Tamandua tetradactyla: one gene and its partners. The protein of the gene in region 3 interacts with the protein of the main gene of each other region in a biochemical or structural test. Links are inferred from orthologs where the notes say so. Each region holds a gene or a part of one and is shown on either strand. Other genes may lie near its edges. The genes, in order: HCLS1, PANX1, CASP3 and granzyme B-like.

What was found.
Region 1: of the proteins of CASP3 (region 3) and HCLS1, one has a biochemical effect on the other in vitro, tested with the Homo sapiens proteins (2 studies listed by BioGRID). The link is inferred for Tamandua tetradactyla from reciprocal best matches to the Homo sapiens genes CASP3 and HCLS1.
Region 2: of the proteins of CASP3 (region 3) and PANX1, one has a biochemical effect on the other in vitro, tested with the Homo sapiens proteins (2 studies listed by IntAct). The link is inferred for Tamandua tetradactyla from reciprocal best matches to the Homo sapiens genes CASP3 and PANX1.
Region 4: of the proteins of CASP3 (region 3) and granzyme B-like, one has a biochemical effect on the other in vitro, tested with the Homo sapiens proteins (2 studies listed by BioGRID). The link is inferred for Tamandua tetradactyla from reciprocal best matches to the Homo sapiens genes CASP3 and GZMB.

Annotation. Positions count from the first base shown.
Region 1 is NC_135336.1:24,106,546-24,113,844, reverse strand, and holds the start of HCLS1 (hematopoietic lineage cell-specific protein), read right to left. Parts: upstream 3,019-7,299; 5' UTR 2,744-3,018; intron 775-2,743; coding exon 691-774; intron 162-690; coding exon 88-161; intron 1-87. Other genes in the region: GOLGB1 (golgin subfamily B member 1), read right to left, coding at 6,098-6,232, 6,552-6,654. UniProt on the Homo sapiens protein: Substrate of the antigen receptor-coupled tyrosine kinase. Plays a role in antigen receptor signaling for both clonal expansion and deletion in lymphoid cells. May also be involved in the regulation of gene expression.
Region 2 is NC_135334.1:48,832,222-48,840,059, reverse strand, and holds the start of PANX1 (pannexin-1), read left to right. Parts: upstream 1-4,832; 5' UTR 4,833-5,273; coding exon 5,274-5,454; intron 5,455-7,838. Other genes in the region: ferroxidase HEPHL1, read left to right, coding at 20-222. UniProt on the Homo sapiens protein: Ion channel involved in a variety of physiological functions such as blood pressure regulation, apoptotic cell clearance and oogenesis.
Region 3 is NC_135352.1:27,971,121-27,978,498, reverse strand, and holds the start of CASP3 (caspase-3), read right to left. Parts: upstream 3,021-7,378; 5' UTR 2,861-3,020; intron 2,309-2,860; exon of another isoform or gene 1,414-2,308; intron 32-1,413; exon of another isoform or gene 12-31; 5' UTR 1-11. UniProt on the Homo sapiens protein: Thiol protease that acts as a major effector caspase involved in the execution phase of apoptosis. Following cleavage and activation by initiator caspases (CASP8, CASP9 and/or CASP10), mediates execution of apoptosis by catalyzing cleavage of many proteins.
Region 4 is NC_135340.1:29,963,578-29,971,078, reverse strand, and holds the start of granzyme B-like, read right to left. Parts: upstream 3,004-7,501; 5' UTR 2,779-3,003; coding exon 2,724-2,778; intron 1,098-2,723; coding exon 950-1,097; intron 454-949; coding exon 318-453; intron 108-317; coding exon 1-107. UniProt on the Homo sapiens protein: Abundant protease in the cytosolic granules of cytotoxic T-cells and NK-cells which activates caspase-independent pyroptosis when delivered into the target cell through the immunological synapse. It cleaves after Asp.

The DNA of each region.
Region 1 (7,299 bases), on a different chromosome or scaffold from region 3:
TCCTTCCTTCCTGGCTTGCCAAGCATCCAACACCCCCCTGGGTTCTCCCACAACCTCTTCCTTAGCCTCAGTCCTCTTGGCACCTACTTGATGTGCTCTGTGCGTCCAGAGCCCTCGATGGTCTTGGCTCCCCATCGTTGCTCCTTCTCAGAGATGTCATTCTGCAAAGACAGCCCTTGGCAATAAGTGATGAGAAGAGATGTGCTAACTAGGAGAAGCCACAAGACTGGCAAGTCCTCCCTGTCCACTGCATCAGCTGTCTCCTCAGCCGGTGCCTAAATTCAGACTCCTTTTTCAGTGTACATCGCCCTGACCCCATGTGGAAATTAAACTAGTAAATTGAGAAACCTCCCTTCCTTCTGCATCCCTCAAATATTCCCCTCCTTCTTTCATATAATTTCTTAATCCCCCCAAATTATACATTTGCCCTCAAATCCTAGATTGTATGCCAAAGGAGACCCATTTTGGCCTATTTCTCACCTTTAGCATAATTTGCCATAGTCTGAAAATAAAACTGTCAAACACCTCCCCACCTGTCTCCTACCATCCTCATCACCAGCTACTATGCATGACCCACGTATGCTACCAGTCATTCTCACTATAAGAGCAGTCTCAGTCCCAGAACATCCTTGCTCAGATGTCCCACCACCACCCTCTTCATTGTCCAAGCAAAGCTACTTCTAAACTCACCACAAAGTCAGGGTCTGTGTCCCAATCATCACCCTGGGTCTCCATGGAAACAGATACATCATGCCCCACTACAGACTTCCACATCTGAGGGTGACAGATGATGCGAATAGTTAGGGATAAAAAGTATCAAGAGTAGAAAAGTATGCTGAAATCAGTGACAAGGGAGACCTAATTTTTCTCGCCATATTCTCTTGAGATAGAAAACTGAGGTAGACCAGAGTTGTAGAAAAGCACCCCTGCACAGTCAGAGGAGGAGTGGAGGGGGTTATCTGAGAGAAACTGAGTGAACGGTTGGAGAGAGGAGTGTAGATGTTGCTTACTTTGTCAGGAACTGGATCAATGTTATTTCAACAATTGTGAGAAGAGTCATATGTAGAAACCTGAATGAAATGGCAGTATAATTCTAAGGGTATATTTGCATGTCTCATAGATATACTCCAAGCACAGGTGAACTATACCAGCAATTTTGACATTCAGATTTAGGCACAGTTGAACTATACCAGCAATTTTGACATTCAGATTTTTAGCATTATCTACATCTATGATAAGTTCTCTCCAGACTCAGGTGGGCCCAGCACCACTTGCTAGCTGGAAATCTTCCTGCCTGTCCTTCCCAGCTCAGCACTCTCTTCCCACTGGAGGCCTCCCCCATGCTCCTTATTGTCTTTTTTACAACCACACCTAGGGCTTTCCTTTTTCTGCACCTAGACCCTCAGATTCTTCTTTCAAATGTTCCATTTCTGTTTGTAAACTCCACCTTTCTCCCTGTTCTTTGCACAACCCCTTGGAAACTCTATGCAAAGGGAACTTGGGGTGGAATGGGAAAAGTGATTCATTGATGAGGCAACTTGGCCGTAGGATATGTCAGAGAGCAGCTCTGCCTTCCCTGCCCAGGAAGTCACTTACGATGAGGACCGATGGACAAGACTCATAATTCCACCACCTACAACCCACGTTTCTTAAGCCCTGACTCCCGGGCTGCACTGCAACTAACAGCTTAACACAGAAAACTGGAAAAGAGAAGTTTCTAAATATTCGTGTACAATAAGGAAGCATTGAGGACCAGTGGCCCCACCCTTTATCCTGCTCTTAGTCCAGTATCTCAGTTGACTCTCTCATCTTCCCCCTTTCTTGAAATAGTAGGAAGAGTTTCTGACAGAGAAACAATTCCCTCCTGACCAGATAAAGGGAAGCCAAGAGGTGCTATTGAGAGATGGGAGACTAGAGAGGGATGTGGTGGGGAATGGATGGCCCAGTTATTACAGGCAATCAAGGGCCTCATCACAAGGCTGCCTTGCAGCATCAGTAAAGTGCAAGGCCTGAGAGTTTGAAGACCCAGGGTTCACCCAGCTCTTTTACTAAGTCCTTGATGAGAACATGAGCACAGGGAAGCAACTTAGATGTCACCACGTTAGGCAATTTGTAAACACCAACTTAAATAAATGGAGAAAATCACTGAGAATCCCCCACTGGAAAATAAATGAAGCATTATTCCAGCTAATCTACAAAGTCCCCTCCAGTTCTGACATTCTGGGAATCTTCAATCCTACAATCACAGAAACTAACCCCAGCTATCTATCACGTCTTCACTTGGCCTCCCATCAGCACTTGGTTCTCAGCACAAGTGTACTTTAGCGAGTACTTCCTGCTCAATTAGAACATTTCCTATGTGGGTTTCGCCTCTCTGGTTAGATCATATGCCCTTCAAGGCTTTGTCTTCATCTCCTTCTGGGGTTTTCTTCTCAACTCAGTGCCTAGGAATGGTAGGCCTTAGAGGGGGCTGTAGTATGTCAGTAGAAACCAGGCAGCACTTCACATGGTCTGGTGTTCTGGATGGCTGCTGGATCATGCTCCCTGGAGTCCTGACCCTCCCTTCTGTTTTCATCCCCAGATGCCGATTTCTACAACCAACACACATTCTGGCCATAAAAGTTTAAATATTTAATAGCAGTAACCTTATAACTCCCCAGAGGGGAAAGACCCAAGTAAGCTCCACCTACTTCAACTCTTGTTCTGTGCTTCCTAACTTCCCCCCACTGTTCAGAGCACCCACCTTCAAGTGTGTCTGCACTCAGATCTCAGCTCCTCAGGGTGATTCCACGCTCCCTCTCTAGCTGCTGGCACTTCAGAGCAAGAAAGTCGGAGCTGCTGCTTCAGTTCCGTATTCAGGTTTGCTGTCATTTCCTGCCACACTGTCCTCACAGCTACTTCCTGAAGTTTGAGTCAGTTCCTTGTGCTCAGGGACTTAAATAAAAAAAGGGGTTAATGTTACGTCTCTGTGCCTACTCTTTTGCAAGCTTTGAGGGTCATAGGGAAGTGACAGAAAATGCTGTTCTTATCCTGTGTTTATAATCTAGTCAGAGAATCAAAACATTCAACCAGAAAACCCATAAATGAATGAGATAGGACAGCATTTGTGACCTAAATTCTGTGGGCAGTTGCATGTTAAAGTAATTCACAGAATTTAGTATGGGAGTAGTAATTAAGAAAGGCTTAATGGGAAAAATAATAGGTGGATGTTGAAGAGTAAGATTTAAAAAGAAGCTACATTTCTACCTTTTCCACAGCACTTAAAACTGGGGTTTGCATCTAGGGCCTTTTAAATAAAATTGATGTAATCAGTTAAATGGCAGGAGGGAATAACTCTTTAGAGAAAGGCAAGACACAAGGCAAGGTATGAAGGAAGAAAGGCTCATAACTTGTTTGGGGAACAGTGAAGAGTCTGAGCTAACTGGTACAAAGATTCCGTTCCAAATAGTAGGAAGAAATCTGAAAGAACCAAGTGGTACCAGATGGAAGGTCTTTGTAGACTTCTGTATTACCGTTCATCAAGGTTTGCTGCTCCTCTCTCTCCTTAGGCCTGACCAGAATTGTTTGGGTCAATGAAATGTGAGAAGTGAATGTATCACTTTCTGGTGCAGATTTTAAGATCACAGCGAGTTTTGCCATGCTCTTTCCCTCATGGCCCCACCAAGGTACCCCACATTTCTCCAGTGGTCCTCTGGCATCCTGGGTCCCCAAGATAGAATGACAACATGAGCAGAATACCATCCTTCCTGTGAGGAACTTACAAGCCTTTAAAAAATAACCGTTTGTTGTTTCACTACTGAGAATGTGGGGTGTTTGTTACTGTACCTCACCTGGCCTCCACTAATCTTCACTGGCTGTGGAGTTTTGACCTGACTGCTCACAGTCCTGAGCTCCCCAGAGGGTTCAAGCAGAGACTGAATGAAATGGGCCCAGGTACAGAAGGGATACCCGAGTCAGGAATAGGAAACTTCTCAGGTCACTTCCAAATCTAAGAATTCTCTGCCCAGAGGGAGTTCCATTTATTGATCGCTCCTACTTCATGACCTATTTATCATAGCAACATCAAAGTTATTTAAAGAGCAAATCTGTAGACAGAAAAAACATCTTTCAGATCATTTGGAGTCTTACCTCAGTGCCCAAATTAGGAATTACCAGACCAGATATTGTGACTTACCACCTTCTAGAAAAACCCTGGAATTATCACAGATAACAGTAAGAAACTCCATCTCTCTTTAGCAAATGTCCCAATCCAAGTTCATTCCTGATGAGAGGGAGTGAGAAATAACACATAGAAATGGGCTTTGAAGCTACAGACTTGGCTCAATTGAGCCATTTATTAATGGACTTGGAGGAATTAACTTAGTTTTTCTCAAGCAGAACTGAAAAATAATGTCCATCCAACCGACTCCATGCTGTTAAACTTCCCTTCTCCCTGCTCCCACGCAGACAGATACCTAGCAGTCAAATGCCTTCAACATGTACCAGACAAGAATTCTTCCAGGACCACCTTTAGGTATATTTTGCTCTTCTGCTGCATGAAGGCCCAACTTGTTTGGTTGGTATTAGATGGGATTTGCTCACTCCACCTCAGCACCCTGGGCTCTAGTGGCTAAGGCTGAAAGGATAGCATGCAACCATTGCTGATACTGGCCAGTGAAAAGGAAGACTGAGTAGGCAGAGCTTTCTACCTCTTTCCATTTCTAGCTACTTCATCTCATGCCTCCTACCTTACTTTCCGCTCCCCAGCATGCAAAAACACATATGTAAGCACTCATGTAGATGTACAACTCACAAACATGCACATATAACCAGAAGTCTTCATTCTGAAAATAACTTTATTATCTTACAGCTGTTCAGGAGAGTTTATTGGATGCTATGACCAAGATTTGGTCACCAGAGAACAAAGAATTACAGCAGATCAGTCCACCAGTCTTCTCTCTTCTTTGGGTTGTGAAGCAGGCAGGAAACACACCATGTGAACAATAAGGAAATAATTAATGAGTATGGTGGTAGTGGTGGTAGGGCAGAAAGGAGGCACAAATGGAATTTAATCCTGGCTGTCATTCTCAGACCTAGATTTAAATATTTCATCTTCCCTATATCCTCTCTTGTTTTGTCTCAGCCTTCTATTACCACAGAGAGCACATGATCATGGGGCTGAGAAAGTGGAATAACCATCACCAACAGCAAAGTTGTTTAGTATTTCAAGAGGTTAGATAAGAGTGAGTCCAGTGTGGTCCCAGGCTAGACTTGTAAAGACTTCCCAGGCTTGGAGTCAATGCTTCGCCTAGGACTGGCTCTTGCTGGCTGCTAGGCACCATCTCAGGGCCCACAATGGAGGCATATCCTGATAATAGAGGAAGGTCAAGAACCTGAACACACTGATTGCTGCCAGTTCTTCTTCCTTAAAGGCAGGAATCACTTATCCCTTTGAATACATGAGATCAGGGTCTTAGGCAAATGTGATCCATCTTTATTAACCCAGAAATGCAAATCCCCATTTATCTCTGAACAGCCAGGGAAGGTGAGACTGTCCTCTTCTGGGACCAAGTAGCTGAAAACTAAGTCCCTGGGGAGTTCTTCAGCTCTCACTCCATTGTGCATGATGTCCTATGAGGTGATGTGTTCATTCCCCATAATTTTTATTATGGCAGCACCACCTTCCCCATGAAGCAGGAGAAAATATAAAGGTAAATGAAACAAGGAAACTATAAATCAAAATGTTACTGGACTTCAGATTATTAGGTTTATTGGAACTATCCTCCTAGGTGAAAGACACCCCTCAACATCTTTTTACAGGACCACAAAAGATGATCAGAGCCCTGTAAAATCTAAATATTGGGCTCAAAAACCAACTGTGAAGCCTCTTCAGATTTGCAGATATATTCAGGCCTAAGTAGAAGAGAGGAGACTTGCTGGTCCCTGTAACTCCAACTTGAGCCCATATCCACCACTGTTTCGCAGCCACTTTCTGTGGTGAATTGGAGAGATGATCTGTATGTGGGAAGACTGTTCCATTTGAACTGATGCTTTTGACATGAAGGACAAGAGGAATCCCAAGTTCCTTGGGGAACAGTTCAAAAGGGGACAAGTAAATTTACAGATGGCCTGTGAAACACAGAATGAGTAGGACATGAACCATCAGAAAGTAGATGGCTGCTAGCAGTGGCACCCGGGTCCGGGAATGACAGAGTGAACGCAAAATCCGCTTCCATCCAGCACCACTCCGGGTCTGAAAGAAAAATATAGACGTTAGAGCACTTCAACATATAGGGGTGTGTCTATTACCCTTTCCCCATCAATCTCGCATCTAAGCAACACTGATTTAACCACTGCAGAAAAGAGATATCCTGGGTGAAAGGCCCCTCAGGGTTGAGGGTTTGACAAACTCTTTTAGTTTCTCCCAACCTTTCATACTCTTCTACTCACATAGCCATTAGCTGCTTACTGGCTGGACTTCCATATTTTCTTTCCTTGATTCCTTGCCCTCAATACAACTAGCCCCATTTGGTAGCATAGAACCCCTCTTTTTATCCTTCTTCCTTTCTTACCCTTTGACAACTATAGCTTGTAAGATCTATTAACACCTGCTCCTGGGTGCCACAGGAGCCAATGATAGGAGTCCGGGCAGAGTCCCATTCACTGTGTTCTAACCTGTGTAGAAAAAAAAAAAAAGATGCTTGGCATTAGTTCATAAGCATGGGAGGCAGCTCAGAAGTCTTCCCACGTAGCACAGTAGCATCACAAGTAAGGCTGTTATCTCAGCACCTGTCCTCATGCAAGGAGTGTAAGGCAGACTGGTTTTGTTCAATAGCAGTAAAAAGTAAGTATCATGAATAGTCAGCCTACTAAGTATCAGATGTTGTGGGTTGGGTGCTTTACATGTATTTCATTCTCAAGGTTTGATGTTGATATATTACTCTCAAAGTAAGGCTTAAAGGGGTTAAATTACTCGACCATGGTGATATAGCCAGTTAAGAGGCAGAGAGGAGCCTGGATTCAAAATCCAGGGGTCTCTAAACCTCATGCTTCCTCCCCCACCTCCCACTACACCATATCTGATTCAGAGAAGCTCGTTAAAAAACATTTTTAAAAAAAATATTTAAAGGCTAATAGACAAAAGCACTCAAAAAAGATTTCTATGGTTTTTAGAACTAGACTGAATCGGCAGTTCAGATTCTCTTCTTTTTTTTTTTTTTTTTTGCTGATTTGCTTATTTATTCTAGAACTTCCTCCTTTTAACTAGCTGCCTTTACCTACTCAATGGTTTCTTACAAAAATAGCAAGTATATCAAAGGA
Region 2 (7,838 bases), on a different chromosome or scaffold from region 3:
CTCACTTTTCTTTTCATAGGAGAACCTGGCAAGGAGAAGCTCTATTTCTTTGGCAAGACTCTAGGTCCCAGAGGAGCCAAGGTGGCCTTGGTTATCCTTTTTATCATCGGATTTCTCCTACTGATAGCCACAGTTGTTCTCTCTCTCAGACTCCACTCTGCAAGGAAGAAGATGTCATACCAGGAGGTCCAGTCTTGCGCACTCCCCACCGATGCTCTGTGAATCATCTGGTCTCCTTCAAGCAGGAAGGTGTGAGGTTCCACATCTGGACAGATGGCTGCCAACAGGGAAATTGGACCAACAGGCAATGTTCACCAAGGAAGGTTGACACTATATGCTGGGTCAGGCTTCTGATCCTCTGGAACATAATCCAAAGCAATTTGCTTTTATTTATATTTTTTAAAATAAGCTATAAATAATCCTCAGGTATGAAATGCAGAAAAAAAGGAGAATTTTCATGATTCAGAAATGCCAACTCTGTTCTCTGAATGAATTCACTGAGTGAGGAGATCCTCTGAAAGATATCTTTGTTTTACATTTTTCATAATTCATATATTGAGCAGTGCTTCCTCAGCTAACTGTAAAAGTTTCTAGATGGACAACTTTAAAAAGACTTAAAGCACTTAGATATCTAACTAGAATAGTACTAATTTTTCAGCACTGTTATGTAAGAAGCCGCCCTTAGTTGTTCCAGGGAAAATAAGTTTCTGAGGAACTCATAAAAAAAACTAAGTTAAGATTTGCTGATAGAATTTGACTAAATGAATATTTTGGAAGCTTCAATCAGCTCTCCTGACCTTTCCCCCTTTTATTTATAAATAGCCTGTGCACTGTTTGCTAAAAAAGGTAAAGTTATAAGCATTTTCTTAAACTTGCTGCTGTTTTTCTGCAACCCTGTAATGATACTTCAAATGTTTACAACTCACTTCATGTTATATGTTTTTATATAATGTTTCTGTGGCAATGTTTGCATTTTCAAAAGTCAACTAAAGAATTTCTATTTATATTTCAGAATCCTGGAATATTGGAATCTGTGAAATAGCAGGCTAGATTCTCTCACTTTCAATCAAGGACTTCCCTGAAAGTTCAGTGGGAGCATCTGAGGGGAGAGGGTAACTTTGCAGGAGACGTGTCTAGGCTTGAATCTTGAATCCGATTTTTTCATTAAGTTAGGGGGATCTTTCTACATCTTCATCTTCTATGAAATAAAAACAGTCTTATATGAGAAACACCAAGAGGAATTCATCAACGCAGCTGAGTTTGGGTTGGGTGGAGAAAGGATCTCACAAAATCCTAGATTTCATGCCTCTTAAAACATGGCCCTTTACTGGAGGAGGAAAAAAAAGGGAACGGAAAGGCATAGAGAAGAGGGATATCTAGAAAAAGAAGTTTCCCAAATAGCAATTTTTTTAAACCATGAAATCATCTTAAAGATAAGTATTAGTTTTCAAGACTCAAATGCAAAAATAAATTATTAATTTATTACCAGGCAAACCATACTCTGTTCTACATGCCTTAACCTTAGGTATAAGATTGATAAAAGCAACATTGTTTATTACTAGACTGAGAAATTGCTCTTAGCTCAGGCCAAGAAATCCTCTGCCATGCCAGGTGGGTGGGATGTTCACACATCTGCATTGGCAGTGGGTCATTTGAATGTCCCGGTGAACAAGTAGGACCTAATAAATATACTGGTGAAGGGTCTTTCATACTTTCTCATCTTCATTTTGGTGATGGAAAAGGGTATTTGATAGATACTTTAGGGGAAAAGGTTATTTGATAAAAGCTTTAGTGTCACTTAAAACAGTATGTGAATGCTAATAGTTGGGCCCATAGGTTGCTTGAATGCTGTATCTAACAAGGCACCTAAAGGATTTTAGATTCTAGTCTGTTAACCACTAGCAATGTAGTATGTGCTTTACAGTTTTCATGCATGTTTTCGACTGCATAATTACATAATAATTATGACAAATGCCTTCTTTATAACCTACCTGTAGTAACACAATAAATTGTTTAGTTACAGTTATAAGCTTTTTCCTTTCATTTAGTTTATTTTTTGTAATGAAAACAAAACCACAAAGTCAGTTGATTATACCCTTTCTCTGTTTAATAAACTTTCCCATATTATCAGACAGCTATTTGTATGGTTTCTTTCACTCAAGACTACTTATCACTAAACCTGGAAGGTGGGGGCTAGTAAAAAGACAATTATTTTTTAGATATTTAGCAAGTACCCCAGTAACACTTGCTAGAGGAAATGCCATAAAATAATAGTATATCTCCACAAATAATATGACAATTCAAACATTATTAGTCTATCTCTAGACATCTGCTCTCTCTGACAGCACTCCAAGCATCTCCAACGTCTGTGTGTCGGTTGGTTCTGAAGCAACTGTGTTTTCAGCAAAATGTCTCCCCTTTTAAAGGACTCCAGTAACTAATCAAGACCCACTTTGAATGGGTGGAGTCACATCTCCATCTAATCAAAAAGTCACACCCACAGTTGAGCATGACACATCCCTGTAGAGATAATCTAATCAAAAGTTTCTACCCTACAGTACTGAATCAGGATGAAAAGAAACAGCTTCCCCCGCAAGATTGGATCAGGATTAAAACATGGCTTTTCTGGGGTACATAACAGATTCGAACTGGCACAACATTACTTTCAAACCAGCACACTATCCATTTGACAGAGGTGTCACAGATTCTGGCAGCCTGTCTTCATAGTCCAGGTATCATCCTGTTGATGACTTGAGTTAGACATTTTCATGGCCTAAGAACTATATATTGTAACTTAATAAACCCCCATTTTAAAAGCCAACCCATTTCGCGCAGGCCACAGTGGCTCAGCAGGCAAGAATGCTTGCCTGCCATGCCAGAGGACCCGGGTTCAATTCCTGGTGCCTGTCCATGTAAAAAAAAAAAAAAGAAGCCAACCCATTTCTAGTATATTGTATTCCAGCAGTTTTAGCAAACTAAAACAGTTAAGGAAGGCTTTCCTGGGGAAGTGACATCAAGTTGAGACTAGGAGAGTGAATAAGGGTCAGCCATGCAAAGAGGCCATTGTAGAGAGCCCTTTTTTGGGCAAGGGAAGGTACGGAGGAGGAAACGGGCCTGCCTAACTCAGTGAACTGCAGGAGACATAGTGAAGCTGGTGAAGTAAACAGTGGCCAAATCTTGGAGATCTTTTTGGCCATACTAAGAAATTTGGATGCTTCCCTAACAACAATGTACATTTTAAGTAGGGGAGTGACATGAACATATTAAAGCTTTTCAAAAGCCTCTCCTGGTACCTGTGGGTGACAGTGGCTTGGGAGGTATGGTATAAGAATCACATACCCCAATTTAGACATGTTGTTAATTTTAATCCTCATTCCAGTGGGTGTGAACCTATTATAATAGGATCTCTTTGAAGATGTTATTTTAGGGAAAGTGTGGCCCACCAGTGTGGGTGGGCCTTAATCCAGATTACTGGAGTCGTTTATAAGCAGAAGAAATTCAGACATAATGAGAGAGGAGCCAGACATCAGTGGAACCCAGAAAAGAAAGGAAAGGACATTGCCATGTGACTGCAGGCAGGGATACAAAACCCAAGGAAACCCAGAGATCACTGGGAGCCAGCACCAGAATATCAGACTTGGGGAGAAAGCATCACCTTGTTGATACCTCAATTCTGGATTTATTCCAACCTCGAAACTGTGAATCAATAAAATCTTGTTGTTTAAGGTCATTGTGTGGTGTTTGTTGTAGTAGCCTTGCAAAATAACACCAGAGGCTTTGGGGAAAGAAACATTTGTTTATGTGATTAGGAGAGGATGGGAGCTTGAACTGGGGTGTTGGGAGTATAGATGGAGAGCTGTCAGATTTGTGATATTTAGGAGAAGAAAATTTGTAAATTGGTTATGGCAATGGGAGAAAGGGAAGCATTAAAGACAGGTTCCACGTTTCTGGCTGGGGTGGGTGGGTGGATGATAGTACATTTAGTAAGATGGAGAAGACTAGAGTTGCAGTTCGAGAGGAAGATAAGAATTACAGTCCTGGTCAATAGGACTTTCAAGTCCTACAATTCACTCAAGTGGAGGGCAGTTTAGGCCACTGGGTGTGTAATGGGAGGAGAAGCAGGGGTGGAGATGTACCTGTGGGAGTCCAGAGTATACAGAGGATGCTTGCATACATGGAAAAGCCCAAGTACAAAGAGAAGGGAAGGCAGCCCAGCTGGCCTTAAGTAGCCCTCATGTTGAAAGATCCTGTCTGCTTCAAATGCTGTTACAGCATTTACTCATCATCCATTTCCTATAAGTGGTTCACCCCCTTCTACGCAGACACCCCTCCGCTGGCTCCCGGGCCTAGGCTCTGACCCGGGAGGCACAGGAAGCACCCGGCAAGAGCAGCGCTAGTTGAGCCCTGATACCTAGTCATTGCAGCGTTCCCCAGTGTCCTTGCACCTTCCTCACCTTCCTCTCAAGCGCAGAGCTCATCAGAGGGCCCAGCGCTCCCTTTTTCTCACTCCCTCGTTCTACCCTGTTTGATTCGTCTTTTAAGGCATCCTTTCTTCTTTGAGGCTTTTGCAACTCAATTTGACGTGATTTCACGGTATAGAAATGGTAGGGCTAGGGTGTAAAGAGACCATCCTGTCTAAATAAATAAGAGGTCGCTGTCAGAAATGATTTCAATAATCCCGGTGCCAGGAAGTAGGAAGATTGAAGATGGGAAGGGCAGGAGAAATTTTCAGAAAGGCCGCTTAATGGGAAGATCCCCCCCTTAGTGGGAGGATCCGTACGCTGGATGCTGGCGCGCCCACCCCTACCCGCGTCACCGCGGTTTCCGGAAACTCCACGCCCCTGGGTACTCGGTTTCTCCGGATGGTTCCGGAAGAGTGGGGCGAAGCGGCAGAGAGAGCGAACCGGCCGGCCGGGACGCTGCACCGGCCGCTGGGGAGGAGCGGAGTGGCCAGGGCTTTGTGCCCCAGTTGATTCTCGAGCCTGCGGACTCGGGAGAGGCGCGGAGCCCGGAAGGTGCGCGCGTTGCGCCTGCCCCGGCACCCAGCGAGTCGAGCAGGGGCAGCTGCATCCCCAGCGCGGGTAGCTGGGAGTTCTGGCGCGCCGAGACACAAAGGCAGGCAGGATGGGGCAGCTGCAGAGTCGGCAAAGGAAAAGCGAAAGCCGCGGGCCCCGCCGGTGACCCGGTGAAGGCGCCGCTCCGCTCTCCCGACGCCGGCGGTGCGCGGGCCTACGCTCGTGGGCCTGCCGAACTGAACCCGGCGCGCCGCAACCATGGCCATCGCCCACCTGGCTACCGAGTATGTGTTCTCAGACTTCTTGCTGAAGGAGCCCGCGGAGTCCAAGTTCAAGGGTCTGCGGCTGGAGCTGGCGGTGGACAAGATGGTCACGTGCATCGCCGTGGGACTCCCGCTGCTGCTCATCTCGCTGGCCTTCGCTCAGGAGATCTCCATAGGTAAGGCCATGGGCGAGGGCAGGCGGGGCGGAGGAGGCCCGGCACGCCTTATCAGGGCTGTCTTAGACTGGCAAGATGGGATTTTACTGAGCGCCGGCCAGAATCTCGGCTTGCTGGCCGCTGCGGTGGCGTGCGCGTTGAGAAGGAAGGTAGCCCCGGTTTTACGGTCCGAGAAGCACTCTTTACCCGTGGCCTCATTTGTAACTCTGTGCTGTGGACCCTGTGCCCGGCCGTTGCAGCCTCCTGCGTTCCATCCCCACTACTCAGCTCTTGTTTCCTGCGCCCGCTTTGTCCCAACTGTAGTGTTCCTGTTCCACCTGCCATCGGATTAGCAGAGGACACCCGCCTTCTCTCTTTTCACACACACGCGTTTGTGCAGTCACATAAAATTTGGGGCCAAAGAAGTTCCCGTGGGAGTAAATGGAGTGTGCACAGAAAAGTGCTCCACGTAAAGAGTGTTCTCTCGCTGTTTTACGAGTAATTGCTATTTGCTGGGACTCAGCCATGCAGAGTTGGGACTGATAGGCAACACCTGCGCTTGACAAGGCCTCGGAGGGATACCAACATCCGCCGACTGGACGGTGTTTTTATGAACGTGAGATGAACAAGTCACCTTTATATAAGTTCTTATTTGATCCTAATAACAATTCTGGGAGATATGAAAGGCTCGTGGGTTGGGCAGGATCAAGTAACTGATAAATTTCTGGTTTTCTTCCTCATCTGTTCTTTCAGCACAGGAGAGTGTTTATGAAGCCACGGAAAGAGTGTAGTGGAGTAAAAGAGGTAGAGGCCAGTGCACCTACCCGGAGGGCAAAGCTCTTTATTGGACGTTGGGCTGGCCTGGAGCCTTGGAGCACAGATAGGATTTGGATAGCAAATTTTGAACACGCAGGGAAAAGTATGTGTTCCTGGAAGGGGAGAGACAGTGACTGCCCTCCTGGAGGCAGGAGGACTTGTTTGGATTTTTCAGATCTGAGAGTGAATATGGGCCTGGGTCAGATTAGAACAGAGGATAGCAGTCATGGTTGAAGACGTGGGAAGTTATCTGAGCAAAGGATGGACTGGCCAAAACTTAGTAAATAATAGCCTGGTGGTGGTGTAGGCTGTGTGGAAGGAGGGCGGAGAATGGAGCTAGGGAACTGGAGGCAGAAGGTGAGGCATCAGTTGAAGTCTTGTGCATGGATGGGGATGAAGAGTAGAAGGGAGAGGATGGGAATGGATGATTTGTGAGAGATCAAAGAGCAATAAGCAGGCCTCGGGTCATTAGTTTGTTGTATATGTGTGTGTTTTGTTTGTTTGTACCTCCACTTTTTCTTAAAAGCAGTTTTATTGAGATACATTCACACACCATACAAATCCATCCAAAGTGTACAATCAGTGCTTCGTGATATCACCACATCGTTGTGCATTTATAGCCGTGATCGGTTTTAGTACATTTTCATTACTCCAAAATAAATCATCCCATGCTCTCCATTATTGAGCCTTAATATCAGTGTGGTGCATTTGTTATTATTGATGAAAGAACATTGAGCCATTACTGTTAACTATAGTTCACAGTTTACAATAGGTATTTTTCCCCCATATACCACTCTATTATTAACTCTTTATAATAGTGGTAATATATTATATTATATTATAATATAACTATATATTATAGTTCTAATATAAAACTAGTACATTAACTAGTTTTTAATAGGGAACACAGGGCATATACTGGTCAGAGTTGCTGCAAAGCCTGCAGGGCTGGATGGGTGGAGAATGGCATTGTTGATAGAAATAGTAAAATTGAGGGAAGAGTTGGTTAGAAAAGGGTGTCAGTGTGTTTGATTTTGTGATCTTCACCCCACATTGTTCAGTTCGGCAGGAAGTTACCAAATTCATTGTGGAGCATAAGTTTTCAGTTTCCTTTGCGTTTGGGCAAGCATAGTCATCAGAGTTTCCTTTTGCCTTCCCGATGACCAGGGGTGGAGGCATCCAGTAGATAGGAAAACCACCAAGTAGCATGGGTCCTAAAGATAGTCTCTTCCTTTAGCAGATGCTCCTAGAGTACCAGCTGTGAACGCATGACACGTGGTCCCTGTCCTGGAGAAGTTGATCACCCTCTGTGACCAGCTCTACCTCTGGCTTATGAATTAGAGGGAATCCTAAGGCACTTGCACCATAGTACTTTAGGCACAGCCCAGGTGATGAGTTGTTTGCGAGGTATTTGTATAGCTTTGGAGTGGGTTTACCTGGCAAGGATTTGAGTTTTTGCTGAGCCTAGTACTTTTGTTGTGCCCTGAGAAAAATGTAAAAGGAGTTTTGAGAGGTGGTCCTCTCCTGGCCCATGGGAGTTTACCATGTCACAGGGATGAGTATGCCAGTGGATATGGCTAGCAGGTATT
Region 3 (7,378 bases):
GAGATGACTTTCTGGAGGAACAAAGAAACAGGTAAGTGCAGCTCTGTATACTTTGTATAAAACAAATATACATTGAAGGATCTTTTTGTAAAAGATACACTAGTAACCTGTAATGTTCCCTTTTCCCTATTGAGAATCACTGCCCTGGTGAATTGGGATTCAGGTTTATAACCATCAGATTAAAAATGTCCTGCATGCCAAAAAGAGCTCAAAACTGCCCAAAGTCAAAGTCGGTAGCATTTATTCATTTTACATTTGCACCATAATAATTTATTGAACACCTACTGTGTACAGAGCATTATATCAAACTCTGAGTATATGAAGTCATGGATGAAACAAAGTCCCTGGCCCCATGTGGGCTGATATCAATGGTCACGGAGTATTTGAAAGTAGCTCAACAAGGCAGATGTCAGACAGTCCACATCAGATAATTTTATCTTACTCTACCCTAATTCAGAAACTCTATAAGCTTATATTCTTATAGAGCATTATTTGAAGGCAAGAAAAAAATATGCAGAGAAATAACTAACATTACATAGTTTTACATTTACTGGTACTATCTCATAGATCCTCATGACTCTGTGAGGTATGTATTTCATACCCAATTTATGGATGAGTTAGTAAATTGTTGTGATTAGGACTTAGTCTCAGGTTGTCTGATAGAGTATGTTTTTTCTTCCATTACATTTTTATTTAAATGTGTACAAACCATTCTAAGAACATAGCTAAGAGTCTAAGAATTACTGTATCTTTTTTCAGGCCCAAACACTAGTGATTCCCATTTAAGATAGAGCTTAAAAAACTACCTAATACTGGGCACCAGAATCAATAAAAATGTCATTCATGAAAATAAAGGTTGCCTATAGCATCAGAAAGGGGATGAAGCAGTAAGAGATTGTGTCAAATTAGGTTTGAAAGCAAAAGAGTAAAGAACATGGTAATTGCCTAAGTCAAAAGAGAATTCAGTATCCTAAAATAGCAGGAGGCAAGGCTTTATTTCAGGATAGTAAAAGGAAATTTGATTTAATTAGGTACAATGTTTCATTGCTTTTACCTTGAACAGGGTTTACTGCCACTCCAGTGAAGTGTTTATATTCATTACCACACATTCTCACTTTCAAAAGCCTTCTTTGGCAAAAGAGCAGAGCAAAACCAAAGCTCAAGCACCAGGCTGTGACAGAGGTGGTTTAAATTTTACATTTTATTCTTAGAGATCATGTCACCACTAGCACATTCAAAGTGGCTAAGCACATTTTGACACAGACTGGTCTAAGCACCTTGCTGTGTATCTCCTACCGCTATCTTGTATATTCATACTGTTACGGGGACTCCAAATTTTACTTCCCTTTCTTAAGTCACCTCTTTTAACTTTAATTTCCTATGTAATCCCAAAACAGATTATTTTTTTCATAGGTCGGGCATAATTATTATGAAGCATAATACTGCAGTAACAAGACAAATGGAAGGACATCCAGACATTAATGCCAGGCTCTGCACAGAAAAACAATAAGGAACTCCAAGATAAGTTAGCATGGTCCCTGTCCACATGGACTTGGCTTACAATCTAGCAGGGAAGATAGTGAACCAAGTACCTGCAAAGGGTATAACACAAGTTATAAGGGAAATGTTGGATGTGAGAGAAACACAGATTAGGAAGACCTAACCTTGAAGTATTTAATTATAGAAGGATAAGCAGGAGTTCTCCAAGCAAAAGTGAGGGGTCGGAAGGAAGGGAATGCCAGAGTGCCCAGGCAGAGAACAGGTATGGAGGTTAACACAGCTGTGCAGAAAGTGAAACCTGGCAATTGTAAAAGACAAGGCAGGGGCCAACTAACGCTTGGCTTTGTTAACGATGTTAAAGGGATTGGCTTTACCCTAAGGGCAAAGGTATACAGGCATGACTTTCTAGATTTTCATTTCATAAAGCTGTCGGTGCTGTAAAGAATGGGCCAAAGAGGTGGATGATGGGTCTGAAGTGTGGGAGATAAGTTAGGTGGCTGCTGTAGTCAGATGAGTCTAGGGTGGCCAAAATCAGAGATGGAGAGAAATGGGCTGATCGGGAAAGGGATGGCGTGGGCAGGAAGGAGCAACAGAAAGAGGATGTCTGAATAACTGTCTGGGAATCCGTTTACTGAGAATGAGGAAAGAGGCAGCTTGGGAAGCAAAGCTTGTGAAAGGGCTTATTGAATAAAGAGTGTCTAGTGTGAAATGGTAACCCTATTCAATTTATGTCTTGAGGGGATTTCAGAGCAGCTCCTAAGTGACTTTGCTCACAGATTCTAAGAAGGAGCAGAAAACCATCATATCTTAAAAGGAATTTGAGTATCATGCTCGAAATAACTTCTCTGGAAAAGCTAAACCACAGAGTTAACAGTTAAAAATCTAGGGTCCAGATACACAGGGCAGTAGAGACCAAGCCCCTGTTAAAAAAAAAAAAAAAACCACAAAGGAGCCAGAGAATCAGGCCCAGGGCCAGCTCTCCTCGGTTAGCACCGGGCCAGCCACACACCCTCGGGGCACCGTTTCCCGGGGTCAGTCCTCCGCTCCGCGATCCACCACACAAGGGTGCAGTCTCGGCCGCGGTCACTAATCAGCATCCTACTGCCCAGCTCCGGGCTTCCGGCCCGGCCTCCCGCTCCTCGGCCTGTAGCTCCCAGGGCTTCAGCGCTCATCCCCGCACCCACCGTCGCGGCAAAACAAAAGAGATGCAGCCAGGCGCGTGCCTACCAGCTCCGCCTAGTCCGAGCAGCTGTGGCCTCGGGCAGGGCCCCGGGGCCGGCGCTGGGCTAGGGAGGTAAGAGGGGAGCGGGCCCAGGGCTGAGGGCGCCGCGGCGACTGAAAGGGCGAGGGCGACACTCACCGCACAGTCGTCAAAGGCCGCTCCCGCACACCCTGCTCCGCTCCGCTCGGTGCTAGTGGAGCTCTGCGCGCCGCAGCGGGAAGAGGTGAGCTAGCGAACAGGGCTCGCCCCCGTCTCACCCCGCGCCAGGACGCCTTGCCCCGCCCCCAGCCCGTTACACCTCTCCCCTGCGGCCGACACGTCCCTCCAGCTCCGCACGCCCCGCCCCCGGCACGCCCACGCCCACCGCCCCTCGCCTCCCGGAAGTCCGCCTCCTCCAGTCCCGTACGCCCCGCCCCCGGCACGCCCGCGAACTCCGTCGGTCTCCATCCGGGAGCCCGCCCCCGTCAGGCCTACGCACGCCCCGCATGTCCCGCCGCGGCACGTGCCGCCCGCCTCCTTCCTTCTCCGCCGGGCAGCCTCGGGTCCTTCCCACCCCACCCCGCCGCGCCCGCGCCGCGGCCCCGCCCCCGCGCCTAATTTGAAGCCGCGGTTCCGCCAGCGTGGCTGGTTCAGTCCGCCGCCGGGGGGCTTCCATCCCAAGCCCGGGGTTTTGGAGTGAATTGAGAGAGACAGGCCTTGCCCGGGCCGGGGACGGAGAGAAGGGAGCCGAGGCCGGCCTGACGCCCAGTCTGACCTGTGGGAAGAAGGGGAGCAGGCCGGGACCCGCACTGGTAATCTTTTTCCCTTTCCTTTACGGCAATTCCATGACCCTAAATCAAAAGCCTTGGCTGCCGTCCTGGTTCCCGCGCTGTTTTGGGACAGGAACTCATTTCACACCTTAATGCTGATTATGAATAGCTTTTCTAGAAGAATATACTAGCACACATGGGCAAGAAATTCTGCACAAAATTTTAAGCAGTTCATGACATAACGACGCCAAGTCAGGACCGCTTGTTAAGTATTAGGTTACTCCCAACACTTTTGTTTCTTCGGTGTAAGGAAGGGGCTGTATTCTGTACATAAATATTCATGGTTATATATATTGCTACCATTTGTTGAGTGCTTATTTCTTGCTCTTATCTTTTCATAATACATTTTCCTATTTTATTCTTTCAACAACCCCTCCAGGTAGGAATTCTAGCCACCACTAAAGTTTAAAGAGATTAAATTGCTTGCATTTGCTAATAGCTCAGTCGCAGGAATTAATCTCAGATCCCAGGAATAAAACGGAGGCCTTTTTTTTTTTTATCTTTCCCAAGCAAAGAGGGAATAAGTGTTTTGCATTCCTTTTTCCGCTGTAAAAAAAATAAACAAACCAAAAACCTGAGAAATAGGACCCACTCTCAACCAGGATGGGTAAAAAAGTCCACTTTACCCCATCCATTTGTGTTACCCAAGCCCCTGTCTGAATTTACCAACACGATTACTTACCGGAAGCAGTTTTCTGTTTTCCTGTAAGTTATGCTAATTTTTTTAGTCTAGGAGGTATGCTTCTGACTGATCCGGGTAATTTATCTTTACCGGTGGCAGAACTTGATGTGCGCCTTGAGGTGGAAGATTCGGGAAAAGGCAACCTGGGACATTACATGCGAGAATAACATTTGCAAAAAGGCTCTTGGATTGAGCCAGGAATAAGGAGTAGTCATTCTTTATTTGGTGAGAAGGCTGAGCAGAGAGAAATAAAATAAGTAAGTGATTTAGGGCCAGATTACAGAGGGGAGTTTCTATTCCTTGAGGTAAATTATACTGTGAATTTGAGTGATGCAGTGAAACATGAGTGCTGCTCTGAAAAGTTATGAAAGTGTTTTTAAAGATGATTAGTCTGCTTCAGTCATGCTGATTGTATGGGAGATCCGGAGGGTGAGTAGATTCGAAAAACTGGAAAAGAACAATATATTGCTGTTTGTTTCTTATCCCTTATGGTAGATTTTGGGGGATTGAAATATGGGTTTGTGTTCAAGCATAGACAGGCAAAGTGACTAAAATGGAAGAAAAAAAAAGACAATTAGTAAATTATTTAATTTCTTAATATTCATCCAGAAGGTAAACTTGTAAAATGATTTTTTTTTTTTTTACTGCAAATGAGTTTTAATCATATACTTTACCATGAAAACTTTACCAGTAGTTGGAGAAATAGTATCAGTGCATTCCAGGAGACCAGTAAAGGCTTAACATTAAAAAAAAAATTTTTGACAAATAGCAGAGCATAATAAATAGTAGAATAGAACATATAACACTAGAAAATACAAAATATTAACGAATCTAATTTCAGGTCAGAGGGAGACATTGTAATTGGGAACAAGAATTAACCAGTGATGAGATAAGAAGATGAAAAAAGCTGGCTTCAGATCTCCTTAGAAGTCAGTGATCATGAAGATTGCACCCCGTAGTCTATTTGTCTGGAAACAAGCCATCAGATTTCATAGCTGGACAAGTCTGGGCATAAACCTAAGGATGAGGAATATTATAGTCTAAAACCAGAATGTCAGATGCTTTCCTGCTCTCATTTCCTCTTTTTTTTTTTTTTAACTCAGCCCTCCCTGCTCAATAGCTCAAGCCTCATTGTCTTCCAACCCTCGCTTCAGCTGTTAAATTTTTCAGCTGTGCAACATAACATGGGGACATGATATATATTGAAATTTTCTTTTTCTTCTTTCAAAGCTCGTGGTTTCCCTATTCTAGTGATACCAACACTGATTTTCTGTTGTGACTCCATAATTTTTATGTGTGACACAATCCATGATCATGTCAAGATTTTGACAAGGTCCTGAGATGATTTCAGTGTCCTAAGTGTGAACTTACATATGGTTACTCTTAGTCATTGGTAAGATAGTAATTATAATTCAGGTCTGACTTACTTCGTATTCATTTTCCTCATTATGTTATCAGTGGACTTTGCTAAATGTTAATACGTGTAAGGAAAATGATGTATATTAATCTCAATGAGATTTGGGGGACTTTTATCTTTATGTGAAGCAGATTAAAAGTAACCAGAACACTCAGATTCAATCTAGCAATAAGGAACCATATCACTTTGCATAAAAAAAAAAAGCGTTTTTTTTTAATTGCTTCATTTCCTCAATCCTCTGAGATTATATTCCTTTTCCAGGGATATTTATTATAAAATTTGTAATGATACATTCGGAATTGTATTTTTCTTCCTTGGTTTATAGTTTTCATGTGATTCTTAGAGGATAATCATTCTTAGATCTGTTATGGTTGAAATTGAACTTGAAATCTATGAATAATGTTGGGAACTGAGTCATGTCTCTTCCAAAAGGCTTCATCAGGACCCAAGTGCTGGTCCTTTGAGTGTGAACCCATTTGTAATTGAAGGTGCTGTTAGTTAGGGAGTGCTTAAACTGAACCAGCATGAGCCTAAATTCTGTGTGGCTGAAATCTTTGATAAGCAAGGAAAATTGAACAGAAAAGTCCTGGGGAGCAGACAGAAGCTGTAAGTCAGTGGAACTTGGAAGAGAAAGGAGAAGATGCTGCCATGTACATTGCTATGTGACGGAAAAGCCAAGGGCCAAGATTGCTGTTAGCCAGCCTCAGAATACCAGTCTGGGGAGAAAGCACGGCTTTGCTGACACCTCAGTTTTGGACTTCTCCTCCATCAGACTGTAAACCAATAAATTCCTATTGTTTAATGCAACCCATGTTATGGTATTTGTTTTTGCAGTCAGGAAATTAAAAGAAATAATATGCCTTTTTTAAAAATTAAAAAAAAAAAAAACACATACTATTACTACACTCTCTCAGTCGTCTGGGGTGGTTCTGTTTTTGCTTCCAGGAAATAATATGCTTTGTGGTGAGTTTGGTGTTGCCTTAAAGTTTTATACTAAAATACAAGACAATATTTATCAACTCAATAAGTACAAGTACTGGAAAAGCATCACCTAAGCCATTTATATGCCTCTTTGGAAAAGTGTCTATCCATGTCTTTTGCCCATTTTCAAAATTGGGTTGTTTGTCTTTTTGCTATTGAGTTGTAGGATTTCTTTATGTATTCTGGATATTAAAATCTTATCGGATATGTGGTTTTCTGAACATTTCATCATGTTTTTCATAAAGTCTTCTGATGCCTGAAAGCGTTCAATTTTGAGGAGGTCCTTTTATAATTTCTTCTTTTATTGCTTGTGCTTTGGGAATAAGGTCTGAGAAACCACCAGCTACCACAAGATCATTAAAGCGTTTCCCTACATTTTCTTCCAGGAGTTTTATGGCCCTAGCTTTGATGTTATGACTTAGATACATTTTGAATTAATTTTTGTATAAGGTGTCAGATAGGGTTCCTTTTTCTTTCTTTTGGATAAGGATATCCATTTCTCCGAGCTCTGTTTGTTGAAGAGCCTCTTCAGTCCAGTTGAGTAGACTTGGCCGCCTTGTCAACACCAGTTGGCTGTAGTTGATAGGATCTGTTTCTAAACTGTCAGTTTGGTTCTGTTGGTTGATATATCTATATGCCAGTACCATGCTTCTTTGTCAACTGTTGCTTTGTTATATGCTTTAAAATCAGGAAGTGTGAGACATCCGACTTCATTTTTCTTTTTCAAGATGTTTTTAAATTGCCCTTCCAAATAAATTTGATTATTG
Region 4 (7,501 bases), on a different chromosome or scaffold from region 3:
TGCCCCCAGCCGGCCACACTGCACACCTGCCCTGGCTTCACCCGGGCCTTGAGCCTGGGCAGGCTGAGCGGGCGCACGGCTGCAGACCGTTTGGCCTTTCTCTCCAGCTGGAAGGGAGAGGAAGAGAATCTAGGGCAGCCAGGAGCCTTCTAGGCTGGAAACCCCAAGGAGGCTGCACTGCCTTCCCTCTGAGACTCGTGGGCACTAAAACTAGTCAGGCAGCCAGGGTGGGAAAAAGAAAATGTACAGGGATCACCGTGGGTGGAGAAATTCTCTGGTCTGAGGAGAGCAAGAGCCAGCAGGGAGGTTTGTCTTACGTGCAGTAACATGATGTCATTGGTGATAGTTTTAGGATTATAGGCTGGGTGGCGGATGGCGCTTCTCACAGGGATGAACTGCTGGGTCTTTTCCTGCTTCTTGATGTTGTGGGCTCCCAGGGTGACATTTAATGAGCTGCACAGAGAAGAAAGTGGAGGATATGAGTGACAGGAGATAGAGCCCAGGAACCCTGAAGGACAGGAGACAGCCCGGGGCTGGGCAGGACTGCAGTTGAGGGGAAATTGAGGGTACAGGACTACCTTGGGGCTGAACTTTCTATGCCCTCTGCTTTTTGGTAGCCCAGGTGGGATTCTGCAGCCCATGGGAACTGCTCCAGGGGTTCTCAGAGATCAGTTACCCCTAGAAAAACATGGGAAGTTGTTTCAGTTTGCACTGAGATCCCAATGCCTGCCACCAGCTCCAAATAAGATAGGGTTGATAATCTAGTCTGCCTTTCTTCAGCAATGCCTTTGGTACTGACCTTCCCCTTTCTGCAGAAAGTTAGCTGCCCTCTTTCTCCAAGGAGCTCCTCTGTACCTGTGTTACTAAGAGCCCAGGAATCCCCTTGGGAAGAAGGTGGGAGTCCCTGCGGAGTGTTTCCAGGTGGATGTGGGCCCTTTGCTGCTCTCACCTTCCCCAGCAGTGAGCAGCTGTCAGCACGAAGTCTTCTCGTATCAGGAAGCCACCACACCTTTTCTTATGCCCCTGTTTCCAGAACTGAATAAATGCCATATAGGGGCGAGAGTGGGCTTTGGCCTCATGTCCCCCGATGATCTTCCCTGAAGGAAAAATCTGTTATGCTTCTGGGTACCCCCAGATTCCACCAGGTACCCACCTGGTTGGTGACTCCAGAAGGGCTGGTTATTTGGGAGCCTGGGATGGCCTGTGGTGGGGAGGTGGGAGCGGCCCCAATGTCCTCCTCTGAGAAGGGGAAAGCAACAGCCCTTGTTCTGTAAATGTTCTGCGCGTAGTTGAAGCCAAGTGTACTTGTCTTAGGTACAGAAGCCCCAGAGACCCCTGAAAAGTCCTTTCTGAGCTTCTAGTGAAGCTGAGTTGGGATGAAGTGAGTTTCCAAGATGCCTGCGAATCCTATGCTGTCTCCGATAGTGCTGCTTCCTAATGGGCAGGACATAAATTTAGGGATCTGAATATTGTCATGTCCTATTTCCTAGAACCTTTTACATAGTGGGTGCCCAGGAAATGTTCATTGGCTGCACGAAGGAATGGCCTCCAGATAGCTTCTGGATGAGGGCTGTAGGACTAATGCTGGTGGGAATCTGGAAAGCAGAGAAGTTGGGGTCTGCCAAAGTCAGCAGCCCATCCTTGACCAGAGGGGAGCTGCCATGGCCTGGCAAGAAAAGCAGAGTTGTAGCGATGGACTGAGGGTGGGGTGGGTCAGGGCATCGAGGTGGAGCAGAGGCAAAAGCCACAGTGTGGGGACCATGATCCCACAGTTATGGGGTCAGCTGAGGTCTGGGATTCTCTCCTAAGTAGAAGCGTGAGGGGAGCGCCTGCCTCGTCCCAGATATAGAAGCCACGCCCACGATACCTCTTTTTAAACTTTTTTTTTTAATTTTGAAATAATTTCAAACTTACAGCACAGGTGCAAAAAGACTATGAAACTGATAGAGAGGACGCAAATATACCCCCATCCAAATATTCACATTTGCTAAATTTTAATGTTTTGCCCCATTTGTTGTATCATTCTCTCTCTCTCTCTATTTATATCTAATTACCATCTATCTCTATTTTCTAAACATTTGAGAATAGATTGCATACATTATCCTCCTTGAACATGTAAAACTTCAATGCATATTTCTTAGCAACAAGGATAGTTATTTATGTAACCATATTAAGTACAGTTATCAAGTTCAAGAACTTTAACATTAATATAAGATATATAGTTCGTATTCCAATTTGTCAGTGGTTCCAGTAATGTCCTTTTGAACATTTTCTCCTCTAATATTATATTCAGTTCATGAACTGCATTGAATTGCCATTGTCTCTATAGTCCCCTTCTCCCTTTTGTAAAAAATTAGGGAAACATATATCGACCTACAATTTCCCATCTCAACCACTCCCAAGCAGGTGATTTGGTGTCTCCAGGAGGCATTTAACCTCTTCTCTCTCTCAGTTTCCTACTATCTGCCATGCACCTCTAGGAGAGTCCCTTTATACTTTCCTGTAAAGGAGAGCACCCACTGGCTCTTCTTGAGGGTGGCCTTTTCTACCCTGCCATTCTTGTCGACTGTCCAGCATCACCCTTGGCAGACTTGGGTGGGGCTGGAGCTGGGGTTCAGAATATTCCTGGCAGGTAGATGGATCAGAGCTGTGCACAAGGGGCAGGGGATCTGTGCCCACCATAGGATGAGGTCGGGGCCCTGAGGGTGTGGACAGTCACTTACCTGCTTCTCCCCCAGGGAGCATGAGAAAGGCCAACAGAAACAGGAGTGGCTGCATCTTGTTAGGAAGGTAGCCCGGATTGGAGTGGCTGGTACTTCTCTTTCTTGCTGTCTTTAAGCCCTCAGGAGAGGAAGAAAGTGTTGGTAGGCTCAGAAACCTCTTGTTTTCCTCTGGTTTTGTGGGGCTTCACCCTTCGAAGCCTTTCTATGAAAGTTGCCCTTGACCCCACTCCCACCACCTCTGCCTGATGACGTTCTCTGGGTGGTTGTGTGAGAGTCATGCAGTCACCACGTCCGTCCCCATAGCTGATGACTCAGAGCAGATTACTTGTTCCAGCTCAGGCTGGGGGCCCAAGGGTAGAAGGTGGGACTATAGGATGTGGCATGGCCCAGAAGAAGTCCTGAGTCTCAGAAACCTGAGTGACAGCCCCAGTGATGGAACCATCAGTGTCTTCATCTCTGTGCTACCAAGTCCATCAAGAAGATGTCCTCAGCAGATGTGTCTTTAGGCCCTTCTCTGTGCTAGGATCAAACCTATTGAAGACGTATGTCCCTTCCTTTGAGAGCCCACCATATGATGGAGGAGAGAAAAACCTTAGTGACCAGGTTATGGTGAGGGCCATGGCAGAGGGACGATGGCAGTAAGGAGAGTATGGCCATGGAGCATCCCACTTGTCATCACTGTGTCCTTCCCTGGAAATGTTTAACATCCTTCATTTATTCTTGACCATGCAGATGTGCAGAATTAAAGAGAACATCTCCCGTAATGTTTTTAACAAAGTCCTGCATTTGACTTTTATTGGCCTAAGTTAATGAATTGCTATGGCCCAAGAAATTGACTCCACCAATTGGCTTAAGCCTAGGTCATTCCTTCCATGGGTAGGCTGGGTCAGCTTCGCCCAACACAAGAATCAAGAATGGGAAAAGGGCGGGCCGCGGTGGCTCAGCGGGCAAGAGTGCTTGCCTGCCATGCCGGAGGACCCCGGTTCGATTCCCGGCCCTAGCCCATGTAAAAAACAAACAAACAAACAAAATATAATAAAATAAGAAAATGTTTAAAGATGTTTCCCTTTCTTCCTCCCTTCCTTCCTTCTATCCTTCCTTCCTTCTCTGTCTTTCTTTAAAAAAAAAAAAAAAAGAATGGGAAAAACTGGTTCTCGAGTTTACTAAATTGCTGATACCATGTGAAGTGGGAAAGCATGTTGGGCACCCAAAGGCTAATAGTGATCTTTTTAGTATTTTCTGTCTTCTGTACAGAGAGCCACACTTCTGATTTAGCAGGCCTTGCACATAATATACCCGCAGTAAACATTTGCTAATCAAACTATGTTGATTGAATGTAAGGATTGGTGTGGCTACAGAGACCAAGCCCAATTCTGGGAAATGAAGTACGAAATGACTATATCTGAGGTCTGGATTCTGGTGATTTAATTTTTCGTCTTTATATTTTCTGTATTTCACATGAGGAATTTTAGGTATCAAAATATATAATTACAGCCTTAATCTCCTCCTCACGAAGAATTAACAAACTATGTTTATCAAACCTCTACCGTTTAGAATTTAGCTTGTGGAATAGTATAATCTAATAAATTAGGTTATAGTGGTAATATATTTTCATTAAAACTTTGGAGAGTAGAAAGAAAAAATATCAGTCTATCTCACACAAAGATGTCAGATATAATTAGTGTATTTTAAATACTTGTGATCACTCAGGATATATTATATTCTCACTTAAGCTTATAACATAAGCGTTTTCCTCATGTTGTTAAAAATCTATTAGTTATTATCACTGCAGCCTCTCTTTTCTAATAATTAAAAATTAACATTAGTAAATAATAAAAATTTTCAAATTGGAAAGTTAAAAATATAAGTTAAGCAAGGAGAAAACAGTTACCTGATTTCTTGTCCTTCATTGATAGACATTTTTAATATTTTCATGTATGAGCAAACACATTTTTCTCCAATGTAAATATTTATGAATTTTTAAAATTAAACGGGGATTATGCTAAAAATAATACTCTGAAACATTTTATACTTAATAAAATTTGCTGTACATTTTTTCTGTCAGGACATGAGAATTATAGTAGCTATCATTATTATACATGTGAAATTAAAAATGAAAGCATAAATTACTTAATCCACCATCCATTGCCGAACCTCATGTTTGCTTGTAATACTTTTGCTAGCATAAATATATTTTGATGAGCAACTTAATTTGTGTGGATATCCAGTTTTCCTACGATAAATTATTGGAGTGGGATTGCTGGATTGAAATTTGTATGCAAATTTAGGCCTTTTGGTTATTTTGAAAAATGGCTTTCCAGGAAGCTCATAAAATTGGGTTATGAACATAACATTTTGTATACTCACAGCTGCATGGACTATAATCATTCTTATGTTGTAATTTGAATCTATCTTTAATTTAGGTATTTAATGTATCTATACATGTCTATCGGTCATATATTTTTGGTTTATCTTACATCCTTATTCATGTCCTTAGATAATTTTTTCTATCCAATTCCTAAAAATCCTTTCAAACCACTGTATTATCTTTCATTGTGTGGATGTACTATAGGTTGTTTTTAAATTTGGACAATTAGAAGTAATATTGTGATAAAAATTTTATGCACAGAAGTTTTTTTTCTTTTCATATTCTGGTTCTATCACAGGCTGACTTTTCAGAAGTGCAATTTCTGGATCATAGTTTATCAAGATCATAAAAACATTAAAATCGAGTGATTTATCCACTTGTGTTTGCCACAAGGACATGGAAAGAGAAATACATCTTGGTAATATTCTCTCACTTGGGTATTGTTTTAAGGAGACATAACCTGTGTGAATTTTTCTTTTTTGCATGGGCAGGCTCTGGAATCGAACCTGGGTCTCCGGCACGGTGGGCGAGAATTCTGCCACTGAGCCACTGTTGCACTGTCCCTATGTGAATTTCTGACAATGCTATTTTTACAATGCTACATATTATATAATTGCAGTTCAATCCTATTTCCTCATTTCCATGGGCTTTTATACTACTAGCAGCCTGGACCCCGATTTCCAGTCAAATGCTGGTGATTTATGAAAAGAAACATGAGCCTAAATTGTTTTGGAAATCTTAAATTTCCAAAGCTTAGGGGTCCTTAACCCACACGCATGTCCCTAGTCCATGCCACCCCCACGCTTTCCCCCGGGGCTCTCTGCCTCTTCTGTCCAGCCCACCGAGCTACCAAACTGCCTAGTGGCATGGTCCTCGGCTCCCGCTCCCTGACGTCCCCAAAGACGCGCTCCCTAAGTAAGTGTCTCACTGCTGTCTTCTCTGCTCTCACAGTCTCTAATATGGAGGGGAGACTTGTATGATGCTCTCTGAAAGAAAAGTGACAACAACAAAAACATGATTTTTGCAATATGCTTCTTTTCTTTGCCTTTTTTTATTGTTAGAGGGACTGTTCCTTTAGGTCTGTGATATTCCTTGGTAGTGATGGTGTTCTAGTTTGCTAGCTGCTGGAATGCAATACACCAAAACGGAATGGCTTTTAAAAGGAGTAATTTAATAAGTTGCTAGTTTACAGTTCTAAGGCTGAGAAAATGTCCCTTTTAAGAGGGGAATTTAATGAGTTGCTAGTTTACAGTTCTAAGGCCAAGAAAATGTCCCAATTAAAACAAGTCTGTAGAAATGTAGAATCAAAGGCATCCATCCAGGGAAAGATACCTTGGTTCAAGAAGGCCGATGAAGTTCAGGGATTCTCTCTCAAGTGAGAAGGCACATGGCGGACACAGTCAGGGCTTCTCTCTCAGCTGGAAGGGCACATGGTGAACATGGCATCATCTGCTAGCTTTCTCTCTTGGCTTCCGGTTTCATGAAGCTCCCCAGGAGGCATCTTCCTTCTTCATCTCCAAAGGTTGCTGGCTGGTGGACTCTCTGCTTCGTAGTGTTGCTCTCTCTGAATCTCTCATTCTCCAAAATATATCCTCTTTTATAGGACTTCAGAAACTAATCAAGACACACTCAAATGGGTGGAGACACGTCATCCCCTAATCCAGTTTAACAACCATTCTTGACTAAGTCACATCAACCAGGGAGATGATCTCATTACAGTTTCAAATATACAGTATTGAGTAGGGATTATTCTACATTTATGAAATGGGATTTATATTAAAACATGGCTTTTCTTAGGGGACATGCTTCCTTTCAAACTAGCACAGATGGTTTCTCTCTCTCTCTCTCTCTCTCTCTCTCTCTCTCTCTCACTGACAATGGCTTTTAAACACAATTAAATAACTCATGTGTGTCACTCATTGGTTCAGCCACAAATGAGGTTCCCAGGGTCCAGCACAGGGGGCTGGTGGCCCAGGACCGGAGGCGAGTCTTCCCCCCTGCACAGTTCCAAGGTCTCCTCTTTTGAATGGTGTGCCCATTTAATCATCTTGTCACCATTCTTTTATTTCTTGCCCAGCTACCCTTCAGTGGGGGCTGATGGACACATTGCCTTAGGTAATTGTTTTAGGATCACAAGGGTCACAAATTGCTTCGAACTGGAAAGTTGTGGCTGGGCGGCCTGATTTAGTCTCTGTAAAGATGGGAACCCAAGAAAGATATTGCAAAGTAGTTTGTGGATTTAGGCGGGATCTGAAGCCTGCAGTGACCAGTTAAGGGTGGAGTGATTGGGCCAATGGAGCACAGCTCCAGGAAACCTTTCTTGCCCTATGCCTGGAGGGGGCAAATTCCGCCCCCTTTAAGCTGGGGAACTCCAGGGCTTGGTGTCAACTCTTGCTCAACCACTGCTCTG